Linked DNA regions of Sus scrofa. The protein of the gene in region 2 interacts with the protein of the main gene of each other region in a biochemical or structural test. Links are inferred from orthologs where the notes say so. Each region holds a gene or a part of one and is shown on either strand. Other genes may lie near its edges.

What was found.
Region 1: the proteins of RPA1 (region 2) and PRPF19 form a complex in vitro, tested with the Homo sapiens proteins (2 studies listed by BioGRID, with this or other methods). The link is inferred for Sus scrofa from reciprocal best matches to the Homo sapiens genes RPA1 and PRPF19.

What each region holds. Positions count from the first base shown.
Region 1 is NC_010444.4:10,850,140-10,854,729, reverse strand, and holds the start of PRPF19 (pre-mRNA-processing factor 19), read right to left. Parts: upstream 2,952-4,590; 5' UTR 2,936-2,951; coding exon 2,917-2,935; intron 1,245-2,916; coding exon 1,095-1,244; intron 938-1,094; coding exon 861-937; intron 135-860; coding exon 1-134. UniProt on the Homo sapiens protein: Ubiquitin-protein ligase which is a core component of several complexes mainly involved pre-mRNA splicing and DNA repair. Required for pre-mRNA splicing as component of the spliceosome.
Region 2 is NC_010454.4:48,029,920-48,033,727, forward strand, and holds part of RPA1 (replication protein A 70 kDa DNA-binding subunit), read left to right. Parts: intron 1-1,880; coding exon 1,881-2,013; intron 2,014-3,720; coding exon 3,721-3,808. UniProt on the Homo sapiens protein: As part of the heterotrimeric replication protein A complex (RPA/RP-A), binds and stabilizes single-stranded DNA intermediates that form during DNA replication or upon DNA stress.

The DNA.
Region 1 (4,590 bases), on a different chromosome or scaffold from region 2:
GCAGCAGTGACTTCCTTGGTGAGACGGGCAATGACACGGCAGGCAGCATCATGCTGGTACAGCGCGTGGGACAGCTCTTGGCGGGTGGTCTGCAGCTGCTGGCGCAGGGTGAAGCTGTGGAGCATGACTGCGTCCTGGGGACGAGACACCACAGTGAGGGGTGGGGAGCAGCATGAACGCCTGCATAAGAGTCAGCGCTGGATAAGAGGACGCTGCCTCCTACCTCACGGCCTGGGCCAGGATCAGTGACCCAAGTAGCATCCAAGCAACCTTGAGGGCACGGGCAGACACTCCTGAGCTCCCACCCATGCCCAGACTGGGCACACAGACAGGAGTGGGAGCCAGCTCTTTCCCATCCCATCTGCACTAATCACCGCAATTCTCGGACATCATGCTGTTACCTCCCCAAAGGCAGTGACAACGCCACTTCTGCGATTTAGTGACCGCCCTCGTTGTGTCAGGCATGGCGCCAGACTGCTCAAGACTTATTCATTCTTCATATTGCAAGGCACCTACTATGTGCCAGGCACTGCCCTCGATGATGGGGCTCTAGCAGGAGTCACACGAGTCCCTGACATCAGGAAGTTTATACTCTCTTATCCCAATTCTCCCAAAACCCAGAGAGACAGGCACCAATCCTGTCACATGGTCAAGAAAATCAGGGCTCAGATGTGATACGAGCAACCCCAAGGCAAGTGTGCAAGGGAGCAACATGTGGAACCCAGATCTGTGTGACGTCAACAAGCAGGCTCTCCTCTGCTCCCTCCCTAGCTCGAAACAGAACACAAGGCTCCAGCCCTCCCACCCCGACGCCCAGTCCATCAGGCGGGGAAGATACCGACTCTCTTCCAGGGACTCACCCACTCATCCTGCAAGGCTTTCAGAATGGCTGGGATGCTGGTGGCTGAGGGAGGCTTGGGCCGGATTGGGTGAGCAACTGTCAAGAGAGGGCAAGTGGGTGTGAAAACCCGTGGCCGGCCAGCCTGCCCCTCCCCCATGCTTCCCCTTCAGCCTGCGTTCACAGACCACCACCTCCTCCCCCGCCCCAGGCTCTGAGCTAAGATGGCCCTGGACTGTGGCCAGTCAGCAGGCACCTTTGATGTCAATGAGCTGCTCCTCGGACAGAGGCTGGTTGTTGATGGGATCTGTGCCATTCTCTGCAATATACTTCTCAATGAGCCGGCGCTCGTAGACATGATTAGAGACAGGGGACACGCATGGGTGCTCTGGCACTTCATTGGAGACTGTGGAGAAAAGGCAGGCAGTGAGCCTGGGCTGTGGGAAGGGACCTTGGGCCAAAGGGATGCTTCACCTACTACCAGCCTCCAGAGGCCTACACTCAACCGATGAGAATCAACCAGAACACCAAGAGCCAGTTCTGGTCTGTACCCAGAACGCTTTCCAGCCTTCTAACTAGCTGCTCCATCAGCCTCCTGACAGTCAAATAATCAACAAATAGTTACTACACAACGACTAAATGCTAGGTACCTAGAGAGCAGTCAATAATCTCTGCCCGTCTCATTTCTGAACAAAGATGCTTAGGTACCCATTACACTGCAGAACAGGGAGACACACACAAACCTCACTTAAACCTCAGGCTAAAGCCTAGATGGATTCTCAAAGAGATGTGACAAGTGCTATAATAAGAGAAAGCATTTACGTGGTGTTTACTAGGTGCCAAGCACAGCCTGTAAACACTTCCCATTGCTTAAATCATCCCCACAACAACCCCCAACTGAGGTATCATTTACACCCTTGAGGATAGAGATTATAGCTGGCTTCCGACTTCCAGGACAAGGCAGATGCCCAGCAGGCGCTCAGTAAACATCTAAGAGATGAGCCAAAGAGAGGAAGGATGGAGCTTCCTTAAGGGCTTCCTTAAGATTGAAACAATGAATGTGAAAATACTTGGCACACTATAATTTCTTTAAGGTGTACCTTTCCTTTATCTAGTCACATTTCCCTTCCCCCTTTCTTTCCTTTTTTTTTCTTTTGGATTTATGGAAAGGTTCTGAGAGGAGTAAAGGGCCTGAGAGTTAGGAAGCAAAGAAAGAAAAGGATGAGAGACTAATAACCCAATAACAATGAGTACAAAATATCACAATAAAATACCGAAAGGAAAGACAGGTCAAGGCATTTGAAAAAAGCACAGATTCATGGTCAGGGAGAACCTGACTCCATCACCCAGCTCTACCACTTACTAGCTGTACTGTTTTACAAAAGCCACATTCTGCTTCAGCCTTACATCCTTATCTGTAAAACAGGATCTTTATTTCTGCTCTGGAGAAATGAGAACATAACAAGATCACAGTCTTGCAAACGAGCTGTAAATCAACAGAGGCTTTATAAAAGTGCGCTGTTTTCAGCAGTCCGTAAAGGGTGAGGCTGGAAGCCAGGTCCCTGGCTCCCAGCCCTGTCACAGCCTGTAACTCACTGTCCGACCTTTGCAAATTGCAGAAGCTCTGCCTACCCGAGCAGGGCCTCAGACAACATCCAGTGCCAAGGCCCTCATTTTGCAGATGGGGAAACTGAGGCCCGCATCCTTGCGCCACATCACAAAGCCAATCTGAGGCGGATCCTGCACGAGCCCTCGCATTTCCTAATTTCTACAGCAGAGCTGTTTCCCCTGCACCAGCTCCCTCTATCCAGGCCTCTGTTCAACTGCGCAAACAAGGTGGGTGGCCTCGGCGCTGCCTGCGACAATACACTTGAGGCGTTATGTAAACTGTGAAGCGTTGCGCAAATGCACCCCACGCTTGAGGAGGAGGACCCCCGGGGCTGACAGGCCGCCGCCCTGCCCCCCCGGGAGCCGCGTTTTCACCTCCACCCCCGCCCCGGCGCCGCAGAGGCCCGCAGATCCTCCCACTCGGCTCTGTGGCCTCCTGCGCCCAGCGATCGGCCACAGGCGATACTCACTAGAGCAGATCAGGGACATGTTGCCGTAGCTGCGCTCCGAGGCTCCTCACACCTGGCTTCGGATCAGCTTCTGAGCCCGCGGGGCCCACTTCCGGTTCCCCGCTGCTTCCGGGACGCTCCGCGCAAGCGGGGAGCGACCCCGCTGGACGATGCTCCCGCAACGTTTCACGTGGGACAGCGGCTGGTCGCGCGCCTCAGCCTCCAGCTTTTAACGGAAACTGTCCTTTCCCAGAATGCAACCGGGCAGGAAAGGGCGCGCCAGGAAGTACTCGGCTATTTCCGGGCCCGCTCGGCTCCTTTCGTAAAGCTCTCTTGGGGTTGGGGGAAAGGAGAGCCGAAACTACATTTCCCGTGATGCAGTGGGAGTTTTAATCCAATCAACTCAGTAATTTTTTAAACCAATCAACTCAGAAACTTTAAACCAATCGACTCTTTTGAGACCGGAGCGGGAAGGGGGGGCCTTGGGATCGTAGTCTTGCAAACGCTGTTGCGAGCGAGAATTACCCCGCTTCTCAAAACGCATCTTCCTGGGGTCCGCTGAAGAGAGCGTTTTCCATGGCTGCTCCCACGTGATTCTTGACAAGTGTTTCTCGGAGTACCCTTTGAAAGGTCCAAGGAAGAAGGCGCGGATGCTGATAGGTGAAAAAACTTTTCTGATGGCTGGGTTCTCCGCTAGACTGTAAATTCCATGATGGCAGGAACCACAGTTGTTCTGGTTATTGTTGTTTCTAAGAGGCTGACACAGTACCTGAAATATAGCAGGACTGTCACAACTATTGTTGGTTGAATGCCAGGCATTTTAAGTACTCAGATGTGGTAGGAAATAAAATGGATCCATTTATACATGCACCCCAATGTTCACTGCAGCACTATTCACAATAGCCAAGACTTGGAAACAACCTAAGTGTCTATCAACAGATAAGTGGATTAAGAAGATGTGGTACATATATACAGTGGAATACTACTCAGCCATAATGAAGAACAAAATAATGCCACTTGCTGCAACAGAGATGTAACTAGAGATGATCATACTAAGAAAGAGAAAGACAAATACCACGTAATAACACATGTGGAACCTAAAATATGGCACAAGTGAACCTATATACAAAACAGACCCACGGACAAGAACAGACTGGTAGTTGCCGAGGGAGAAGGATGGACTGGGAGCTTGGATGTAGTAGATGCAAACTACTATATTTAGAATAGTTGGACTGGAGTTCCTGTTGTGGCTCAATGGGTTAAGAACCCAACATGGTGTCCATGAGGATATGGGTCCATGGCCTCCCTCGGTGGGTTAAGGATCCAGTGCAAGCTTCAGTGTAGGTCAAAGGTGTGGCTCAGATCCTGTGTTGCTGTGGTGCAGGCTGGCAGCTGCAGCTCCAATTCAACTCCTAGCCCAGGAACTTCCATATGCCAAAGGTATGGCCATAACAAGAAAAAAAATCAGAGCTAGAATAGATTGACAAGGTCCTACTGCATAGCACAGGGAACTATATCCAATCTCCTGGGATAAACCATAACGGAATTTTTTGAGAAAAAAGTACATATATATATAACTAAATCACTTTGCACATAATAAATCAACTGTACTTTAATATTAAAATATAAAATAAAATGGATCTGTTTAGGAAGGGCGTTATACTAGAAGTGGTTAGCTTTGATTGGGTAAACAGC
Region 2 (3,808 bases):
AAAGAAAAAGGACCAGAAGGAGTTCCTGTTGTGGCTCAGCGGGTTAAGAACCCAGCTAGTATCCATGAGGTTGAGGGTTCAATCCCTGGCCTCGCTCAGTGGGTTAGGGATCTGGTGTTGCCACAAGCTGTGGTGTAGGTGGCAGACGCAGCTCGGATCCCATATAACTGTGGCTGTGGTGTAGGCTGGCAGCAGCAGCTCCAGTTCAAACCCTAGTCTGGGAACTTCCATATGCCACAGATGCAGCCTGAAAAAAGAAGAAAGAAAAGGAACTGGAAGTAAGTTGAGGAGAAGCTGCCAGCATGAAAACTGGATGTGTGTGTGTGTGTGTGTGTGTTACATAATTGTATATTGTGTACTAGATATAGATACGCACATACATAGGTGTTCAAGAGAGTATGTGTGCTTCCTTGCGTCATCTTGAGGTAGTTGTTACTGTTGTGAGTGTAGACATTGCTTGATGCCCCAGTTTGAAGAGAAAATTTTAAGATCTGGGGCAGTCTGTGTATATTTTTTACTAAGTGCTACAAATACCTAGAAGAGTGTGGTACGTGCTGCGAAAACGCAATAAATAAATGCTGAATAATAGTAGATTTACATTTCTAGCCAGATGCCGTTCTGAAGAAATGTTTTGTTATAGAAGATATGAAAAATCATTGGACTAAATCATCTTTTCCGAATTTGGAGGTGGAAGCCTCGGAAACAGCATGCACGTAGGGGACGTCGTCTGCTCCCAGGCTTTACGTGATTACCTGTTCTTCCCGAGTGCCAGGCAGCTGCTTAGGCTTAGATAAAGGAGGCAAGAAGGGGCCACGGCAGCCAGCCACCTACTTGTCATGAACGGAAAACTGATTCTTGCTCTTTGCTCCCAACTAAACCCATCCCATAGACTGCATTCTAGACCTTCTGTTCTTGTCAGACCAGTTGAGAACTGGGAATTTTCTAGGGATGTTGGGAGGCGACATATTTGTGATGGATGTCCTTCACCTCAGGCGGCTCATCCACTGTGTCCGTTAATTCCTAGGCTTTCCTTTAGCTTTTTCTCTTAGGCAACTAGTGACTTGTCAGATTTACCAGTCAGGAGGGTCGATTTTTTTCTCTGAACCCATCACCTTGCCTGTTGCCACAGGGGCAGCTGGAAGAGGGTTGAGCTCCCAAAACAGCAGTGTCTGGATTCCTTACTGTTGTTATCGTGACCTTAGGGCCTCAGTCAGCAGTAGAGTCGCGAACATCTGTGTGCCCAGCCTTCATTCTGGATCTGTCTCCAGCCTCCTGTTTCAGTCTGTTTGATCTCCAGATCCCTTGATTATGTATTTACTTATTTAAAAAAAAAATATATATATATATATATATATATGTATAGTCTTTTTAGGGCCACGCCCATGACATATGGAGGTTCCCAGGCTAGGGGTCGAATTGGAGCTACAGTTGCCAGCCTACACCAGAGCCACAGCCACGCAGGATCCAAGCCACGTCTGTGACTACACCACAGCTCACGGCAATGCCTGATCCTTAACCCACTAAGGGAGGCCAGGAATCGAATCTGCGTCCTCGTGGATACTAGCCAGAGTCATTTCCGCTGAGCCAGAACGGACACTCTCTCTTGATTATTTAAAAGGAAAAGGCTTGGAGTTTCCTGGTAGCTCAGCAGGTTAAGGTTCCTGTGTTGTCTTTGCTGTGGTGTGGGTTCGATCCCTGGCCCAGGAACTTTTGCATGCCTTGGGTGTGGCCAAAAAAAACTGTAATAAAATAAAAGGAAAAACTGCCTCTCATTTTGTATGATGTCACCAGTGACACCTCAGTAATTGAGAGTTATTAGGAAACTTACTATAAAATTTCAATAGAATAATGATTGTTCCTCTTTGTGTTTGTTTTTAAAGGTTCCACTGTATCTAAGGCTTATGGTGCCTCAAAGATATTTGGAAAAGCTGGAGCTACCAGTGTAGTGAACAGCTCTGGGGGAACACAGGCCAAAGTGGTCCCCATTGCCAGCCTCACCCCTTACCAGTCCAAGTGAGTTATTTCATGGAATAAGTTTAGAAGGTACTTACAAAAGAGTATATAGTAAGTTATTATGGGCTCTTGAATTACTTTTGTGTGAACTTCAGGGTTGCCACACATAGAATAGGTTTCCTCTTTTTTTTCCAAATGGGAAGAAATTACAAATTGTGGCAACCATGATTTCTCTTATAATAAAGAACAGCAGAAAGAGCAGTCTGGGGAGTTCCCGTCATGGCTCAGTGGTAATGAACCCAACTAGTATCCATGAGGAAACAGGTTCAATCCCTGGCTTTGCTCAGTGGGTTAAGGATCTGGTGTTGCTGTGAGCTGTGGTGTAGGTCGCAGACTCAGCTCGGATCCCAAGTTGCTGTGGCTGTGGCGTAGGCCGGTAGCAGCAGCTGCAATTGGACCCCTAGCCTGGGAACTTCCATGTGCTGTGGGTGCAGCCCGAAAAAGACAACCCCCCCCCAAAAAAAGAGCAATCTGCCATAGCCCATGGAGTTTCATTCATTTTAAAAAAGAATTTGAGGAGTTCCCATCGTGGCGCAGTGGTTAACGAATCTGACTAGGCACCATGAGGTTGCGGGTTCTGTCCCTGCCCTTGCTCTGTGGGTTGACCATCCGGCGTTGCCGTGAGCTGTGGTGTAAGTTGTAGATGCGGCTCGGATCCCGCGTTGCTGTGGCTCTGGCGTAGGCCGGTGGCTACAGCTGCAATTTGACCCCTGTCCTGGGAACCTCCATATGCCTCGAGAGTGGCCCGAGAAATGGCAAAAAGACAAAAATAAATAAAATAAAAAAAATAAAAAAGAATTTGAAATTTAAAAGATTTAATGCTTGAAGAATCAGTTGATAGTCTCATGAGTAAAAATAAATATTCTAAATCTGAAGGTATTTTATTTTCTCATCGTATAAACAGGTGACTTGTAGTCTTAAAAGTATTACTGGGGTGTAGGTGGCTAAAAGAATCTGTACTATTTGTATCAATATTTCTTTTATATGACTTCTTACCATTAAACATTAATTTTTGCACTTTAAATTTAGGGAGTACTCTTTTCAGAATTCTTTCAGCTATGTTTTTATTTATTCTTCAATGCTTGGTAAGATCGGGGTAACCTGCTCCCCTGTGAGATAATGAGTGAGGTGCCTCGTGTCCTCAGTGCCTCTGCTCAGGATGGACGCCGGGTCCGGGTGTCAGAGCTCGTGCCTCCTTTTTTAGGGGCCTCTGTCTGAGGCCCTGTTGCTTGCGGGTGTTTTCTGCTGGTGGCTGAACCAACACCGTGTTCCACACCCTTGTATTTACTCAGTGTGTCGGAAACGAGGCAGAAGCCCGACATCAGGTGTATCAGTTCCCATAATCGAAAGCGGTGGCAAAATATAATTGCTGGTATGACTGCCTTTTCTCGCTTAGAACCTTTTATCAAGGGGATATTGTTGCCTTGGTGATGCTTTTTGGAGAAGGGAGAGCGTTTATAAATTTACTTATTTGACAGGAGAATGAGTCAGTGTTAAATCACCTTGCATGTTTTACTCTTTGCTTATTCTATAAACTGTCAAACCTGGATGTCATCGTGGGGTTTTAATTAGCTGCGTTAAAATACAGCTTCCACTGGAGAGTGGAATATGCATAAAGGAAGAAGGGCTACCGGAAGATGGTGGGGAACCTTTCAGATCTTTCGCAAGTGAGACTCCGAACACTAATATTGTCTACTTGGTTTTCAGGTGGACCATTTGTGCTCGTGTTACCAACAAAAGTCAGATCCGTACCTGGAGCAATTCCCGAGGGGAAGGGAAGCTTTTCTCTATAGAA